Drosophila melanogaster: one gene and its partner. The protein of the gene in region 1 interacts with the protein of each later gene in a pairwise test. Each region holds a gene or a part of one and is shown on either strand. Other genes may lie near its edges.

Region 1 (7,829 bases):
TCCGGCTGCTGTTTTCCCGCTTTTCCCACTTTTCCCCTGGCTATTTTTATTTTTGTGTTAGCCATGGGAGAAAAGTGTTTAATTGATGCTCCGCTGCTCTCGGTGTGCAATCCTCATGAAAAATGCACAGGACTCGCCCAGAAATTCCCTTTGAGCTTTGCAACTCTCACTATCCATATCTAAATTTCCACAAAATATACCAGAGATTAGAGCGAGCGAAATGAGTAAAGTGAGGGGCCAAGCTCAATTTAGGGAAAAAAAAAGTTACAAACAAACAAAATTACATTAAAAAAAAATGCTGGGGGGAAAAAATTAGAAAAACGAAACTGGGGAGAATAAGCAAACTTGTACTTTATCTAATTTAATGCAGCATATTTTCAAGGAATCTACTTAATAATATATTACGCTGTATACAGCGGTTTCTAAACATGCAACCATGTTTTCCAAATCGAAAAATATAGTTTCGAGTTTCAAATTTACCTATGCAGCTATTAAAACGGTGTACAATATACTCTTTAATGCCTTTTATAGTTTGTTCACTACACATTGTGTTTAAAAGCCAAATCTTGAAAGCAGCTTAAACGGCAATTACCAAAGTCAATGTCAAAGTTAGCAATCTGCCAAGTTGACGACTTAATTTCATGTCGAATTGCGGAACTGATTGCGATTCGATGTGACAGCGGTGAAAAGTGGGTAAAGTGTGGAAACTCTGGCAAATACAAGCACAAGCCGCATTCGATGCAAATGAACGGGCATGAATAAGTGAGTGAACTATGTATATCTGCCATTCTGGCAATACTCAAACACTCAAACACTCATCCATGCAAATGTGCTAGACTCGCAATAGCAATCGCAATCGCACGGCTACTGCTATTTTTCCCGCCATTCAGGGATATATCTCATCTGCATCAAGTGCGTTGCGCAACAACAAAGGACAAAAAAAAAGCAACAGCAACATATGCAGTAAAAAATACAACAACAAGAAGATGAAGAAAATAGGTGGGAAATCCTGCAAAGTGTCTGTAAACATTTATTTCAAAAATTTATGAATATTGCTCGCGCTCAGCAAAAGCAGCGGTGACAAACGAAAATTCCTTTTTGCCCCCACATCTCTTCGCCATTCGACTTGCGAATTGTTCAAGCAATGGCATTGTTTACCCGCTTTTCTCTGTGTGTACGCGTGTGTCTCTGTGTGTGTGTGTGTGTGTGTGTGTGTAAGTTATTGTTTCGTGACATGATATTTTACTGTTTTGTTATGGAATTCAACAGGGTATATCCAGACCCTGACGCAGATACATGTTTATATATATACCATAATTAAAAGGCTCTTGAAGTAGTTTTTCTGGAGCACTTTTTTCAATTTAACCTATATGAATAACAGTATATGAGTCACTAGAAAATAACGAATTACCAAATATTCCTGGCTACGATATCACAATTGATTTCAAGTTATGTTTTTTAATAATTTAAAACTCATATTCAATTAAAAGTTCGAATCAAACATTTACTTAGAACTAACTGGAACTAGAAAGAAGCCAATCCAATTTGTTGAAAATTTCAAAAGTTGTTTTATACTTGAATATCTTGGTTTTACTTTCGCTTGCTTAACACCTAATTGTTGTTTTCAACTATTCCAGTTGTCCGTGTTCGTATCATTAGAGGTTTTTCTGCTTTTCCGCTGACGAGGAATCCGAATGTCGGGAAATAGTTTCCCCTTCGTTCGTTCTTTTGCCACTCCTTTCACCGATTGCCGCCCCCTTTTTCCTTTTTCTTGTTGCGTAGCGCATTACAAATGACAGCCGCCTGTCACACACACATGTGCAACGGAAGGGAGTGGGGGGGGGGGTAAACCCACACACAGACACACAGAAGGAAAGCCACACAGACAGGCACACGTGTAGAATGGCATGCCATACATACATGGCCATTAGTGTTGTGTTGTTGTCGTTATCATGCACAAAAAAGTTGTCGTCTCTGCTTAACTTTACGCTGCCTTACTCCACTTTACGTGTAGGTCTTCTGGCAAAAGCCCCCTTTAACACCCAACTTTCCCCCTTTTCCAGCCTTAACCCTCCAACGCCCCGTTTGTCACACTGGAAAGTACATAAAACAATGTCATTGTTAAATTGCTAGCTAAGTTGTTGGGAATCTAAGTTTTTATCAACTAGAATATGAAATCTTTTGGGATTTTAATTCGAAATCCACAGGCGCTTAGCATCAACTTTGAGATCTTACAATCTGGATTTAATATTTCAAAAAGATTTTAAATAATCATAACTTTATGAAACAAAAACTCTTGTTAAATTCAAGTAATTAACAATCAAGTTAGGGCTTTGGTAGTTTTATAGTTTTGTAACTATTTCAAATGCAATGCCCTATCACTTTCGAAAATAGTTTTCCACTGTGTTTTCCACTCTTATCCCCGACGAGTGTTGGCCAAAAAAATTTTCGGTAGGAGAAACTTTAGTTGGTCAGCCAAGTGAATTACAAGCTCAGTGTTTAACCCTTAGCTCGCACCTTGTTTTTTTCCAGCATTTGTTCGCATTTCCCATTTGCCCCTCTCTTGGTTGTTATTTAATTATCATTTTTCATTCTTGTTTCGGGGTGGGGTGTGGAAAATGTTGTCATCGCACATGTTTGTGGAGTATTGGTATTTTCGGGTTCATAAGTAAACGAGAGGGAATTAAATGGTACATTTTCGTCGGCGAATATTTTTGATATTTTGATCTTTTGTTTTCGACCGCCCAGGATGCAAATGCAATTATAATTTCATATTTCAATTTGGCTGCAGTGCGGTACATTATGTTAAAATCCAGCGGTGGAAATGGTGAAAGTTGAAAAGAAAATAATCAAATTGTGTGGTTGCATACTTTTCGGATTTTTTTTTTTTTTTTTTTTGATCATCTTTGTGCATTTTTAAATGCACTTTTGTTGCTGCTGCAATTTTAGTTTTATTTTTGCGCCTCTTGCCCGCTTTTCATATCCAACTTTCTTTTGGTGCTTTCAAATTTCCTTGTTATCTCATAATTTTCATTCACCTTCCCTTCTTTCAGTCGTCTTTTGCTTGCCATTTTTCGATTTCCTATTCTTTCCGAATTTTCCTTTGACATTGCGTTTTCCTTTGGGTTGCTTCAATCGATTTTTATTTTTTTTATTTCGCTGCTAATCATGGCTCAATCACTTTTGGGCACTTTCTTTTTAGATCTAGATCCAAGTTTTATTTACTGCTTGCAAAATGCTAAAAAAAACAGTATTTTGAAACAAAGTAACGCTAATTTAAAATAATTTTATTATTCATGTACTGGCTTATTTGTTTTTAGCATTATTCTTCAACAAAGTGATAAAACATGAGAAAACAATAAGATGTCAACTACAATCAATTTTTTGGCCAGGACACACCTTTCTGAAGGGTTTTTTTCCCGCTCGATATTTCCCATTTCCTTGAGACTCGGCAAACATTTTAATGAGATTTTCGAATTCCAAAGAAATTCAAAACGTAGCTTATTCAACTTGTTCTATGTGTGCGTGTGTGTCTGTGTGTGAGGCACACTTTCTTTCTCTGCAAGTGTGTGCGTATTTGTATTTGTATTTGTGGCAACAGGCAACAAGCCAAGTTAATTAGCAAAAAGCAGATAGCGTCACACAAAAAAGGAGCAACCAACTAAGGCCATCTTAAGGTCTGATTGAGCAGCGAGTGAAAGTGGGTGAAAGTGGGTGAAAGTGGGTGAAAGTGGCTGAAGGGGAATGGAATGAAAGCTTGGCAAGGGGAGGGGGGGAGGGGTGAAAGGGGTTAACTGGAATGAAGGCCAACAAAAATGGGAGGTGGCTGAATTCTGCGGGGACCTCCGCTTAAGTGCGGGTTTTTGATGTCGGCGCAAATTGCAAAGAAAATGATTTATTATCTGCAAAAGGCAATTAAGTAAAATTGCTTGAAAATTATTTGCATCCCCTAACCGGTTAGGGAAAAATTTCAAATAGAAGCAAAACCAAAATACACGCAAATGACAGCAAATCTTTTAGACAATTCCAAAAAATGGGAAACGTAGGTTAGTGTATTAGTAAATAATCATTTTAATCATTAATCATCAATAATTAATCATTATAATATAAACATATAATAAACAAGTAAGTTTTTTCATTCATTTTCTATAAACGGAAACGTTTAAATTATTTGTATTTTAGCGAATTCCCAAAATTCACACTGTTTTTCCGCACTTATTAAATACGGCTTAAAAACATGTTATACCTTTCGAAATCAACACAATTTTCAATTTAGTTTCTCACAATTCATTTAGATACTACATTTTCGCATTAAAAACAGCTTATCTGCAGAAAAGTATTTTACGAATTACGGCGAAACCGAATTTCAATTAAGCGCAAAGTTTTTGACGCAAAACTATTTCACATTCGTTAAAAAGTTAACTGACAAAAGTTGTGCAAAACACGACAAAAATCGAATTTCCGCATTTGTAATCATACAAATATATTGTACTTTAGTTGAACACTATACACTTTCAGCAATTATATATGTATTTTTGACCAGATTTCCGATGACTTTAAAATGTCTTTGTAACCATTGCGTAGAAGGAAACTCACCTGCCCTTCGGTTTCACAATTCCAGCGCTCCAGATCCAACATGATTTATAAGTCGAATTAGAAGGAGCCACACGACGGGCATGGAACAAGAGTGAATTAATTACGAATTCAAGCCCGAAGAGGTAATTAATTCACTTCATTTTCTTCCCCTGCAAAGTTGGCTGAAAACCAAACCAAACCAAACCAAACTCGACTTGACTCGATTCAAGTCAACCATTTTGTTGACAGACAAACAAATGGTGGGCCAAATAAGCAAACATGTGCACATAGGCACCTGCTAGGACATTCATGAATTCATTGCTAACATTACGCCAAGGATATTTCAAATATTTCTTTTAAGATTTCATCCAAAGTCGTAATTGCTTAGAAATTTGGCTGGAGCTCTAATGTGCTACAAGGAGCAGTGCTTCGTTAATTTGGAAAATTATTTACATTTCCCAAGGACTTTTAGGTAATTTAATCAATGCCATTAATTCGTCACGTTTACGATTACCGCTATAATAAAACAGTTCATTTAGGCACGTTTTTCCGCAATGCAATTCATTAGGAGTTTTGACAAGTTGTTTTCTTTTGTTAACTACAGTTTCATAAGTGCCTATTTAAGTAGTCCAATTATAGTGATTGAAGGTATATTTTAAAATCAACTTTAAATGTATCTACAATTTTATGATTTCGGTTCATTCATTCATTATTCATTTCTTCTTTCTTTCATTTGTACAATTTTCTAATTAATTTCATTTCATTCATTCATCTTCCTTTTCTTCATATCTATTCTTCATTCTTTCATTTCTACAATTTTCCTATTCATTCTACTCATCATTCATTTCTTATTTCTTTATTTTTTCCATAAAAATCTTTAATTTCAATATTCCACTGAATCCGAATGTTCGAAAGCCCATTTTTCGTATCTATCAAAACCGTGCTGCCCGATTCATTCCGTTTGGTTTTGGCAAACATAGCCCCAATTCCGGACTTGCAAATGGGACTCCCGGTCGGAATTTGAGTCCTTGTCACAATGGAACTGACCATATTTACATTTGTCAAGCACTTCACTCACCTTTGACTGCGGTGTGTTCTCTGTGTCTCAAGCTTTCTCCGCCAAATCCTCCTCCGAATCGGAACGCGAATGGGATTTAAATATTTGCCACACACACTCTTTCACTTCGGCTCGGTCGTTTGTATTCGAATTGAAAAATGGTATTTCGGAACGCTATTGCACTTTATGTGTATATTTATGTATATATACTCAATTTCTTAGATTAGCACAAAAACCAAAAAAAAAAAAATTATGTATGTTCAGCACTTTCGAATATCTTTCGAAAATCGAAAACCGGGCAAAGGCAGTAACTGCGTGACTGTGAACTGTGACCAGTGACCAGTGACTTGCGACTGTGATGTGAGTATGCTGAATTCAAAGGCTGAGGCTGAGAACCGAACCGCACGAGAGTCTGTTGACGAATGAGTTACAAATGGACGATGCGAAACGCTAACAGCGGGAAGACAACAAGTTGCCGTGTCCTTAACAGCGATGCTAACGAGCACTGTGGAGTGGGTACATCTTAACAGCGCTGAAAGCTCTGCTCAACTGAAAGCTTAGCCGATGCAATTTCAAGAAAACTACTAGTCGTCGCCAACAGATGGCGCCGCAGAGCAAGTTTATGCTTTCGATGCACTTTAGTTAATTTTAAAATATTTTTCCAATTTACCCAACACACATACATACATAAAAACATCGCAGTTTTATCTTTTTTTTTTTTAATTTTATTTTCGTTTTTTTTTTTCTCATTTTGTTTTGTTGTAAGAAAATCTATTCATTATTCATCAGTCGACTGACTTTCTGCGACTTCTCTAGCTAAAAAAAAAACTCACTTCAACATATTTTGGTCTTAACAGAAAAAGAATGATACACTCCAAATCAGAATGGGTGTGTGTGGGTGGGGGAGGGGAGGGGAGAGACGAAACATAAACACGAGGGGCAATCAATTGTAATAGTAGGACTAATTTAAACATATCGTACAATTGGAAGGCTTTCTTGTCTTACAACGCAATCGATCGGTCTGCCTTCTATTTAAGTTCGATATTCCATTCAGTTAGAAGACTCGACTCATTCTGCTGCTACTCCTCTTTCTATAATGTGTCTTCAACAAACGAAGACACTTTCGCAAGGGGATTTCTTTAGGTTTCATTTTTTGTTGGTTTCATTTTCATTTGTTTTGTTTGTTTGTGGTTGTTGTTGTTGTTGTTGAGTTTGGAGTATGTGCAGTTGTGGGCATTTCAAAGTTCAAATTTCTAAAACAAATCTGTGAAAACGTTGGTTCGGTATTCGTTTATAGACTAACAATCTCGATAGACGAAAAAAAAATTATGATAGTATGATCTTTAGAAATGATCGAACATGATGTACATAACTAATTAATTACGAAACTTTTTGCTTTTCTCCCTACAGGATGAAAATGACGGGAGGGAGTGGGATCTTGCTGTTACTGCTCCTTCGGCAGCCGATGTTATGGCTACCGCTTTCGATGGTGTTTGGGATATGTGCAGTCTTGAGCGGATTTGAACTTAATCATCGCCAGCGGAACGCTTGACCTTGCGCTGCTTGGGACTCTGCTGGCTGGCCGCCTTGGGACTGGCCGGCTTGGTGGGCTTGGGCGAGGTCTTGGGCGTTTTGGACTTGGGCGGCGACTTCTGCAGCGCACGCAGCGTCTCCTGTGGCACCCAATCGTAGTCGATGGTGCTGTCGTTGGCCGTGCCGGTTTCGATCACCTTCTTGGCAGCGGCACGCTTCCTCTTGCCAGAGCTGCCGAGCAGATATTGCTGTCCGATGACCAGTAGCAGGACCACAATGCCCGCCAGCAGGACGTACAGGAAGAAAGTCTCGCCATCCAGACCCTCATCGACCTCCGAAATCAGAACGGTCTCATTGAACACGGCCTCGTTGTACTGAATACCATTGGCATCGCGGTAGGCCAGTGCAATGTTCAGTCCAAATGGACGGCCGGCAAACTGATCCGAGGGCAGGAAGGTGTACGACACGGTCGACTCAAAGCCGGGCTTCACCTCACGATTGTAGGCCACCGCCGAGAAGTTCTGGATGAAGTAGTTGAAGTCCATGGGATAGCGGAAGGAGGCCTCCACCGTCTCGATCACGAATTCCTCGGCTCCCTTGTTGGTGAATCCAATCAGGAACTCGACGGGTTTGCCGCCGGGCAGATCCAGCTGCTGGCCAGGTG
Region 2 (8,760 bases), 3.3 Mb from region 1:
CAGTGTGGCCGCCTACTCCGCGCTGGCGGAGAAGGCCTTCAGTGTGGCGACACCGGAGCAGGAATTGGCCTGGCGCCTACTGGAAGAGATGGCCACGGCACGGAAGCCGCCCAAATGCGAGGTCTATCTGGCGCTGCTCAATCGACTGGCCAACGAAACGGCACAACTTCCTGCACAGCTTAGCCTTTTGTTGCAATTCCTCGAACGCCATGAGATTCTAGTCAGCCAGCGGGTGGCGATACGATTGCAGGAGCTGTCCAGCCAGGTGCCCCAACTGTTGCACACCAGGACCACCCATTTGGGAGGTCTGGGCAAGTGCCAGTCCTGCCAGCAGCACCTCCAGCCGGTGGCCATCAGCGATGAGGAGTTCCGGCAGCTAAGCGAATGTTTTCTGGAGCGCGTGCTCATACGACGAGACGTCTTCCAGCGCTCCACGCCCGAGGAGGTGGCCAGGTTCAAGAAGTTTGTCGAAAAGACGGCGCCATACGACTGTGTGATCGATGGCCTCAATGTGGCCTACTCTACGGGCACCAAAAAGACGCCGCAGCAGCTGGCCAAGCTAGTGGCTACGGTGGTGCGTCATTTCCGGGAACAGGACAAGCGTGTCCTCGTCCTGGGACGCGAGCACATGCGCAACTGGTCCAAGCAGGCCATGCACTATGTGCACTGCAATGCCAGCCTCTTCTTGACCAGCAATCTGTAAGGGAATTCATCTCGAATTGGAAAGGGATAGGTAGACTAATTCGTTCGTTCGTTTGCTTATAGGTCGCACGATGATCCCTTCCTGCTGTATGCCACGCTGCGCAGCGGCCAGGAGACAGACTTCTTCTCCCGCGACCTGATGCGCAGTCACGCCTTTCATCTGGGCACCGAGCTGAAGCCCATCTTTCGTCGCTGGCAGCAGGAGCACCAGTTCTCCCTGGTCACCCAAACGCAAACGGGTCAGATTATAGTCAAGGAGCCCGTTCGTCATCGGCTGTGTGCCCACCAAGTGGCGGACACCTGGCATGTGCCCTACTGCGCGCAGTACACGCCGCATCCCACAGACAGCTTCGAGGTGCCCGCCAACTGGCTGTGCATCCAGATGAAGGAGCAGACGATACCCGCCACCAAAACCAAGACCAAAACAACGAGGTGACCATGTGAGCAAGACTTCTTATGCGAATAAATAGTAGCCAAATGTTAACACGAATACACTGAAGGAGCCGTCCTAGTCGCAGTCATAGCGGGTGCACTTCTCAAAGGCTCCAAGACCCTGCGGCTGGGGCTTCTTGCGACGGCGCTCGTACAGCAGCTTCTTCTCGGCGGCGCACATGAGCCGACGCTTGATGTGATTGTCCATCTCGAAGTCCAAGTCGGCCGGCTTGGCCAGCTCGTTGGGATCCCTTGTGGCTGCCGAGTCCAGCGCCTTAATGATCAAACTGAGCAGCGCGTGCGCGAGGCGATGGCACACATCGTACTCGATGGCATCCTGGCTGGTGTAGTAGATGGCCGACTGTGAGGTGGGCTGCACACCAATGGCCAACAGGATGTTGCAGAAGATGCCGCGCTGCATGCGCGCATACGGATCCACCAGCTGCGGCGGAATGCGCATCGTTGTGGCCAGATGGGAAATGAATTTGGCGAACTTCTTGATGAGCACGTTCAGGTACTGGGTGCGGCACTGGCGCTCCAGCTTGGTCAGCATGTTGTAGTACAGTTCCTGCTTGCGCTTCAGGAAATCCTCCTTCTTTCGCTCCTTGGTCTTGTTGCTCTTAAGGATCTGCTCCAGCTGTCTGTTTTTGGGAATGAGATGAGATGATTAGATCGCGTTAGCAACTGATGCAAGCGCTGCACTTACTCCGTGGTAATGGCTTTGTATTTGCCCAGCATGCGCTTGATCCGCTTGGCCCGCAGCTTCGGATCGTATACATCCTTGAACTGCTCGTAGTTGTCGATGAGCGTGTGCAACTTGGGCTTGGACAGGGCCACGTCGTAGGGCTTTACCTTGGGCGGCAGTGTCGGCTGGTAGGCCATGCGCCGCACATACAACTCCAGCTTGTCCAGTTCCTCCTCCCGCCGCTTCTTTACGTTCTCCTCTGCGCACACATCCGGATCCTCCTCCTCGGGCAGCGACTCCGTCGACGTGGGCATCGGCTCATCCCAATCCGAGACATTGGAGCTGGCCATGGCTGAAGAGTACTACACGGAACTGAACTAAACGAAACGAAACGGAACGGCTCGTCTCGGCTTGGTAAATTTGTACGTATTGGAAATTTAGCTTTGAACTTGGTTACTTATAAACACAAAATAATGTTTCGAAATCTTTTTTGTGTACGAAAAATTTGGGTAAACGGGAGCACTAACAATTTTATGTATTCACGCTGCGATAGTGGATCACCTTATGAGCAGTCCCAGTTGAAATGTGAGCGAGGTAAAACCAAAGGACTACTTGATAGTCAGAAAAGTTCTACATGTTTTCAAAGAAATGGAACATTAATTGTATGGCAACAAGATTAAGGAATTCCAATGACTCACACCACTAACAAGCAAAAGAGCACTGCATATGTGGTTTACAATTAAATAAGCAACGTTTTATTATATGTAATGTAATGTAATGTATGAATATTAACCAGTGGATCTATGGATCTAAAGCTAGTAACACTCGTTCTGCACGGATCGCTCCAGGGCGAAGGTGTACTCCTCGGCCAGCTCGTCCACGGACAATTGGCGCGTTAGTAGCGCCAATATGCTGTCCACCTGCATTTGGGTGCTGGTGTAGCGATCCTTGTTGGCCAATCCGGGTGCCAGCTCGAATGGAATGTCCTGCAAGTAATTGACGGGTCCTTGGGCTCCGGGCTGCTTCACTTGATCGCTGCGCGGTCCTGGCATCGGCGGATAGGGCAGATAGCCCGCTGGCGGCATAGGTGGATACATGGAGCCGGCTGGAACACCCGGATGAGGAGCATCCGGTACTGGTTTGCGCTCTATGAACACGAAATCATCGACACTGGTGCCTGGACGGGTTGCCTCCGCCGGTCCCTGGATGGGCTGGTCATCCGTGGGCGTTTCCGCGGGCTTGCGTTTGCCAAATATCGAAAACATTGCACTATTTTGTTCTATTGTTTGGTAAAATCAACTGGCAAATTGCGTCGTCCGCCAGCTGTGATGCTCTTTTAGCGGGCGTTGGTCCAAAACAGCGAGTGCTAGCTAGTGGTGTGCCCAAAAGATGTAAACATATAGGTGTCTATAGTGAGGTCTGAGCGAAATATGAGAATTTTGGGTATTTAATTTTTAACTATTTGTTTGCTTGGGTATTTTTCGGTTACGAATGTGTATACCCAATATAAACTTTATTAATTGCAAGTAGTTAGATTTGGAGTGAAATGCAGTCTGCACTGAATTTCCGTTAATCGCCTATCGGTGGGCGCGCAGTGTGGCCATTCGCTCGTCGGATGCGCAGGGCTGGACAACCGACACTGCGCCCGCCTCCGTCGCCAAGTGAAGTCGCTCCGAGATTGATTGTGTACACCGGATAAGAGGAGCGAGCGAAAAAGATGTCAAAATTGGACCAGGACCCGAACGCCTCACTGAGCATCATGGAGGTGAGTGTGCCGCCGGGACGCCATTCAGAGCTTCAGTGTGTCCACTGCCCGGAGCTCCAATTCCAATCGGCGGTGGCTACTCTAGAGCTGCCACATTAACGCATTCACAACTGTCTCCATTTCCCACATTTAACATAACTTTACTACTTCGCGCAGCAAATCAAGCAGCTCATCCGCCCGCCGCCCAACGAGGACGAGAAGATGATGCAGCGGTCCACCAACACGAAGCATCCGTACTACAGGCGCCCGGGCAGGGGCCACAACCACGACTATTGTGACGCCTGCGAGGAGGGCGGCAATCTGCTGTGCTGCGATCGATGCCCCTCCAGCTTCCACCTGCAATGCCAGTGAGTATATACACGCGCATATAGCTGCTCATTTTGAGTGCTGATTTCGTGCTTTCGCCACAGTGATCCACCGTTGAGCGAGGAGGACATACCCAGTGGCCAGTGGCTGTGCCACAGCTGTCGCATGAGCAAGCTCTCCCAGCCGCCGGCCTCCTCATCCAAGGCCAGTTCCGTGGAGCGTGTGCCTTCGGCGGGCAGTGGCTCACGGGCGAATACTCCATCGTCTGGCGATCTGGAGTCCATACCGCTGAAGATCCGCAACCTGCGCAAACGCAGCAACAGCGAACGCAATAGCACCGAGAAGCTGCTGGCCAAAATGCCGATGTCCATACAGCGCGCCCTCGATCCGAACAAGAAGCCAACGCCGCTGGACGATGTCATCAGGGCGGCCACCATGATGAATCCGCAGCAATTCTCGCTGCCGCCGGAGCTCGAGCTGCACACCCAGTTCCCGGGCAATGGCAAGGTGCAACCCGTACAGCAGACGCATCCGCCGAGCGGAAATGGCGGTAATCGCAGATGCGCCGGCAATCAGCGACGCAACTCCAAGCCGTTTGAGCTGGATGCCCAGGGACTGGTGCCGCTGCCCGCCAAAACCTGTTTCTACTGCACGCGCTCCTGCAAACGGGCGCCGCTCATCTCCTGCGACTACTGTCCGCTCTACTTTCACCAGGATTGCCTGGATCCGCCACTGACGGCACTGCCAGCTGGATTGTGGATGTGCCCCAATCATGCCGAGAATTTTATCGTAAGTCAGCCAACGCACATGGAGGTCTGCTTGGGTTCTAATGAGGATGTCTGTTCACAGGATGCCAATATGACCAATAGCATTTCGGCCACGGAGCGGGTGCGTCTCTGGAATCGCTTCCACCAGCCACTTGACCATGAAAATGTCAAGCTTGAGTTCTTCCGGCGTGTCAACACGCGCAATCCGCCCTTTCGCACCAAGAGAAATCTGCGTGCTCGCGCCCACATCGAGGTGCCAGCCATTGTGCGCTACCACTACGATCATCCGCCGCCGCTGTTGCCCTCCATGCGCCAAACGTTGCGCTACGATCGGGTAAAGCGGCGCAATAACCTGCCCACCGAAGTCGAGGAGATATCCCGTGAGTCGGTCACCGAATCGCTGCTCAAGGATCTGGAGGCCTTGCGCACGGCTCACGCCAAATTCCGTGAGATTCAGAGGGAATTCGGAACCTTGGAGACGGCCATAGATGGCGATAGCGACAGCGATCCCAGTCCTGAAGAGAAAAGGACCGAGACGAACACTCCCGCCGATAAAGTGAATGGCGAAGTGGATACGGAGAATCCCAATACAGAATCGAATGCGCAGGCCAGCGAACAGCCGTCGGTTGTCAAGGTGGAGTCCAAGACCAGCCTAGAGGTGGAGGCTAGCTTCGAGGAGGACGAGGAGGACAGCAAGAAATCAACGGGTATTATCGATGCAGACCTCTTACACCTGGACGTCGATATAATCAAGAAGCTGGCGCACCAGCGTCTGCAGCAGCTGGTCGAAGAGCATCCGGAGATTGTGACACAGTACAAGAATCGCACGGCCGCTCGTCGCCTGCGTCAACTGGCGTCAGTCGATGGCACACATGTGGCTGGCGAAACTGCTGCCCTGCAAGGCCAACTGGCGCCGGAGGATATGAACCGTTTCTCGCTGCTCTTCACCAGCGAAACGTCCTCAATTCTGGCGCAAAAGAATGGCAATGCCGCCGACGAAGATCCCGCAACGGCCCTGCATCCGGCACTGGCCACAGCGGCGGCCATTGCAGCAGCAGATGCCGCTGCCGAAAGCTATGCGCCGCGTGCCCGTAGCGACACGGAGAAGGCATACGAGCTGGCATCGCGCCTGGAGCTCAAGCTGCTGCAGTGCAAAGTGCAGGCGCGTGCGGTGATAACGCCACTGGGCGACATGCTCGAGGATAGCCGCTGGTTCAGTTCGCTGGGGCTGGACCATTCGATTTTCATGCGCTACCGCACGCTGTACATTGGCTACGGTGGACACTATTCGCCATCGACGACGCTGGCGCAAACGGAGACCGTGGACCTGTCGGCCATTGGTTACTGTTGTCGCATTTCACCGCAGCACGCCATCATCTTCTACGACGAATTCTCCAAGTCGTACGAGCTGATCAATTACTCAGAGTTTGGCACCGAGGTGAATGGACAGCTGTATGCCTGCGACGTGACCGAAAGGATGACAACGCACGCCGGCAAGCCGATGCGACCTGACGATGCGGAGCTGAAGAAGCGCGTCGATGAGATGCTGGACAAGCGTCGGAACATTAATCGCCAGTTCGAGACGAAGAAAATCGACAAAGAACGGTAGCTATAGTTTATTTGCCCAACTTACCCAATGATGATGATAACCACTTGTTGATTTAATCTCCCCGCAGATTGGCGCCCATTGTTAAGCCCGCCTGCCGCTGCATGAACGCCGGACCAGTGCCCATGGTGGATGGCGCCTGGGAGGGATCGGCGGTGCTGGCTCACGGCAGCCTGCTGCGATTCGGTTGCCTGTCGTTTGTGTTTGTCGTGCCGTCGGTGGATCTGCTGCAGGCGCAGGCGCGCAGCAAGCGTTCGTAGAACCAGTACCCAGACTCCATCAGCAGAAGCAGCAGCCTTTAGTTTAAGCATTAAGACACAGAAACATATACGCGCTCAACCGCAGCCAACTCCAGTGGAGCAGCACCAATCTCAGTGGGGCAGCTAGCAGCCAGGCATAGGGTTAGGGTTAGCAGATACCAGTTCAACTTCATCGCATCAATCATCGCAATGCAAAGCCTCGGCAGTACTTTTAAATCACACAATCCTCCAATCCCATCCAGCATTAAGGGTATATATTTGCCTTATGACCAGTGCAATAAATACGGAGTACAAACCACGGATGTGCACGGCTGCAGGCTGATCCATGCCAGTGGGCAGTGGATCTCTGGTATCAAACGCCGTATTTATTGAATTAACCATTACGTTCATAAATCGCATAAACCCGCATCGCATACTTTACTTTTATTGTAAAAACAGATGTATAAATTGCTAAAACGAAATAAACTTGTAAGATCAGAGATTTTTTCACATGCAAATGGATCGATGGAGCCACCAATTAGCAGTAAGCCCCGCCCAATAAGTGCACATGACTTTTAGTTTCTTTTGAAATGAATGTGTTTACTTTATAACCAGATCAAATCCAACTGGTTAAGGCATTATAGAGAACGAGAAGAGTATACACAATAGGTGCCAGGCGGCGGGACGCCTTGACTTTGTGGAGTACACGAAACGTCGGATAAGTACATTCGGTATGGCTAATATGCAAAAAATATATATGTATATATTTGTAATTGTAAAGATCTAAGACTACGCATGCACCGCGTCCAGGTGCCGGCTGCCATCCTAGAGTGCGGCCGCAGGACCCGGCTGAGCCTGTGCCTGTGACGGGTTGGTGTGCTGCATCTGCTCCTGGACGCCAGCCTTGGCCGCCGAGCGCGTGGCTCGCGATCTCTCCCATTCCGCTTTGTGCTTGCGCTTAGTGTGATGGTACATATTCGACTTGGAGCGGAATTCCGTGGGACAGAAGGCGCAGGTGTGCAGCTTGACGCCCGTGTGCGTGGCAAAGTGCTCCTGCCGCAGAAGAATTCATTATCATTAGTGGTATCCATGCAGCTGCGGATAACTGAAACAATGCAAGGCAGTGCAGTACTCACCTCCAAATATCGCTTCATCTTGAAGCTTTTGCCGCACACATCGCATGCGTACTTGGGCTTGCTCAGGCAGCGATGATTCTGGCCAGGAAGCTCACCGCAATTGGGACAAATGATCGAAACGGGTGCCGCATGGATGACAGCCTGCAGCGGAGCCGCCGGTCGTTTATCCGTCTCTGAAGGCGGGTGGTTGCTGTAAGAGATTCGTTAGTAAGCTTGCTGCTTGCTGCTTGCTGCTGGAGTATCCAATCGACTTACCCATAGGGATGCGCCATCATTGTCCCAGTTGTCGTTGTCGTCGTTGTTGTGGCACTGCTCGTTCCTACGGCCGCCGCTGCAGCCGCCGTTGCCGACATGACAGCAAAGAGTTGTTCCTGATGTTGCTGTTGCAAAAGGCTCGCACACAGACGCTGCTGCAGGCTATCCGGTTGTCCTGGCGGATTGCCCGTTAGCGAAGCGGCTGCCACGACAGCAGCGGCTACCGCATTATAATTGGCCAGTATGAGCTCGTTCTCCTTGAGCCTTTTCTGCGGCGAATCCTCGTCGCTAACATCGCTGCCCTCCGTGTGCTGGACCTTTTTGGGCGAGTGCGTCTTTCGGCGACTGGATCGATTGCGTGAGCCCCGACTACCGGATGGCGGTGTCTTGGTTATGGTGAGGTTCATGGCCTCGCTGGGTTGACTCTTGATTACCGACAGCGGCAGCTGTTGGACAGTTGGTGGCGATGGTAAAGGAGCTGCTGCGAGATTGGTGGTGGGTGTGGCAGACGAAGCAGGAGTAGCAGTAGCAGCGGGATTTACTGTGTTTCCAGGAGAAGCAGAAGATGCAGGAGCGGAAGCAAGAGCAGGAGCAGGAGCAGGGACAGGAACTAAAACTGCTGGAGCGGTCTCCTCCGGCGTCGTGTGATTCTGATTCGACTTGGCCGCATCCCGCTCTTCGCGAGCCTTTAGCCACTGCGTGGTGTGCTTGCTCTTCACATGGGTGTACATATTCGAACGGCAGCGGAAGGCCATTTCGCAGTAGGGACACGCAATGGGTCGGTCGCCGGTGTGGGTGGCTATGTGCTCCTCCAGGTAGCGGCGCATCTTAAATGACTTCTCGCAGAACATGCAGGGAAACTTATTC

What was found. Proteins that work in one complex are often made in the same cells at the same time.
Region 2: the proteins of CG32700 (region 1) and CG3815 interact in a two-hybrid assay, tested with the Drosophila melanogaster proteins (one large-scale study listed by BioGRID).

The regions. Positions count from the first base shown.
Region 1 is NC_004354.4:9,544,781-9,552,609, forward strand, and holds the start of CG32700 (uncharacterized protein), read right to left. Parts: upstream 6,059-7,829; 5' UTR 5,650-6,058; intron 1-5,649. Other genes in the region: l(1)G0320 (lethal (1) G0320), read right to left, coding at 7,159-7,829.
Region 2 is NC_004354.4:6,291,970-6,300,729, forward strand, and holds CG3815 (uncharacterized protein), read left to right. Parts: upstream 1-3,419; 5' UTR 3,420-3,536; coding exon 3,537-3,584; intron 3,585-3,740; coding exon 3,741-3,931; intron 3,932-3,994; coding exon 3,995-4,679; intron 4,680-4,739; coding exon 4,740-6,262; intron 6,263-6,333; coding exon 6,334-6,523; 3' UTR 6,524-7,001; downstream 7,002-8,760. Other genes in the region: mldr (mulder), read left to right, coding at 1-699, 766-1,138; CG15892 (uncharacterized protein), read right to left, coding at 1,211-1,775, 1,841-2,169; CG15891 (uncharacterized protein), read right to left, coding at 2,635-3,084; CG12219 (uncharacterized protein), read right to left, coding at 7,328-7,555, 7,639-7,828, 7,894-8,760.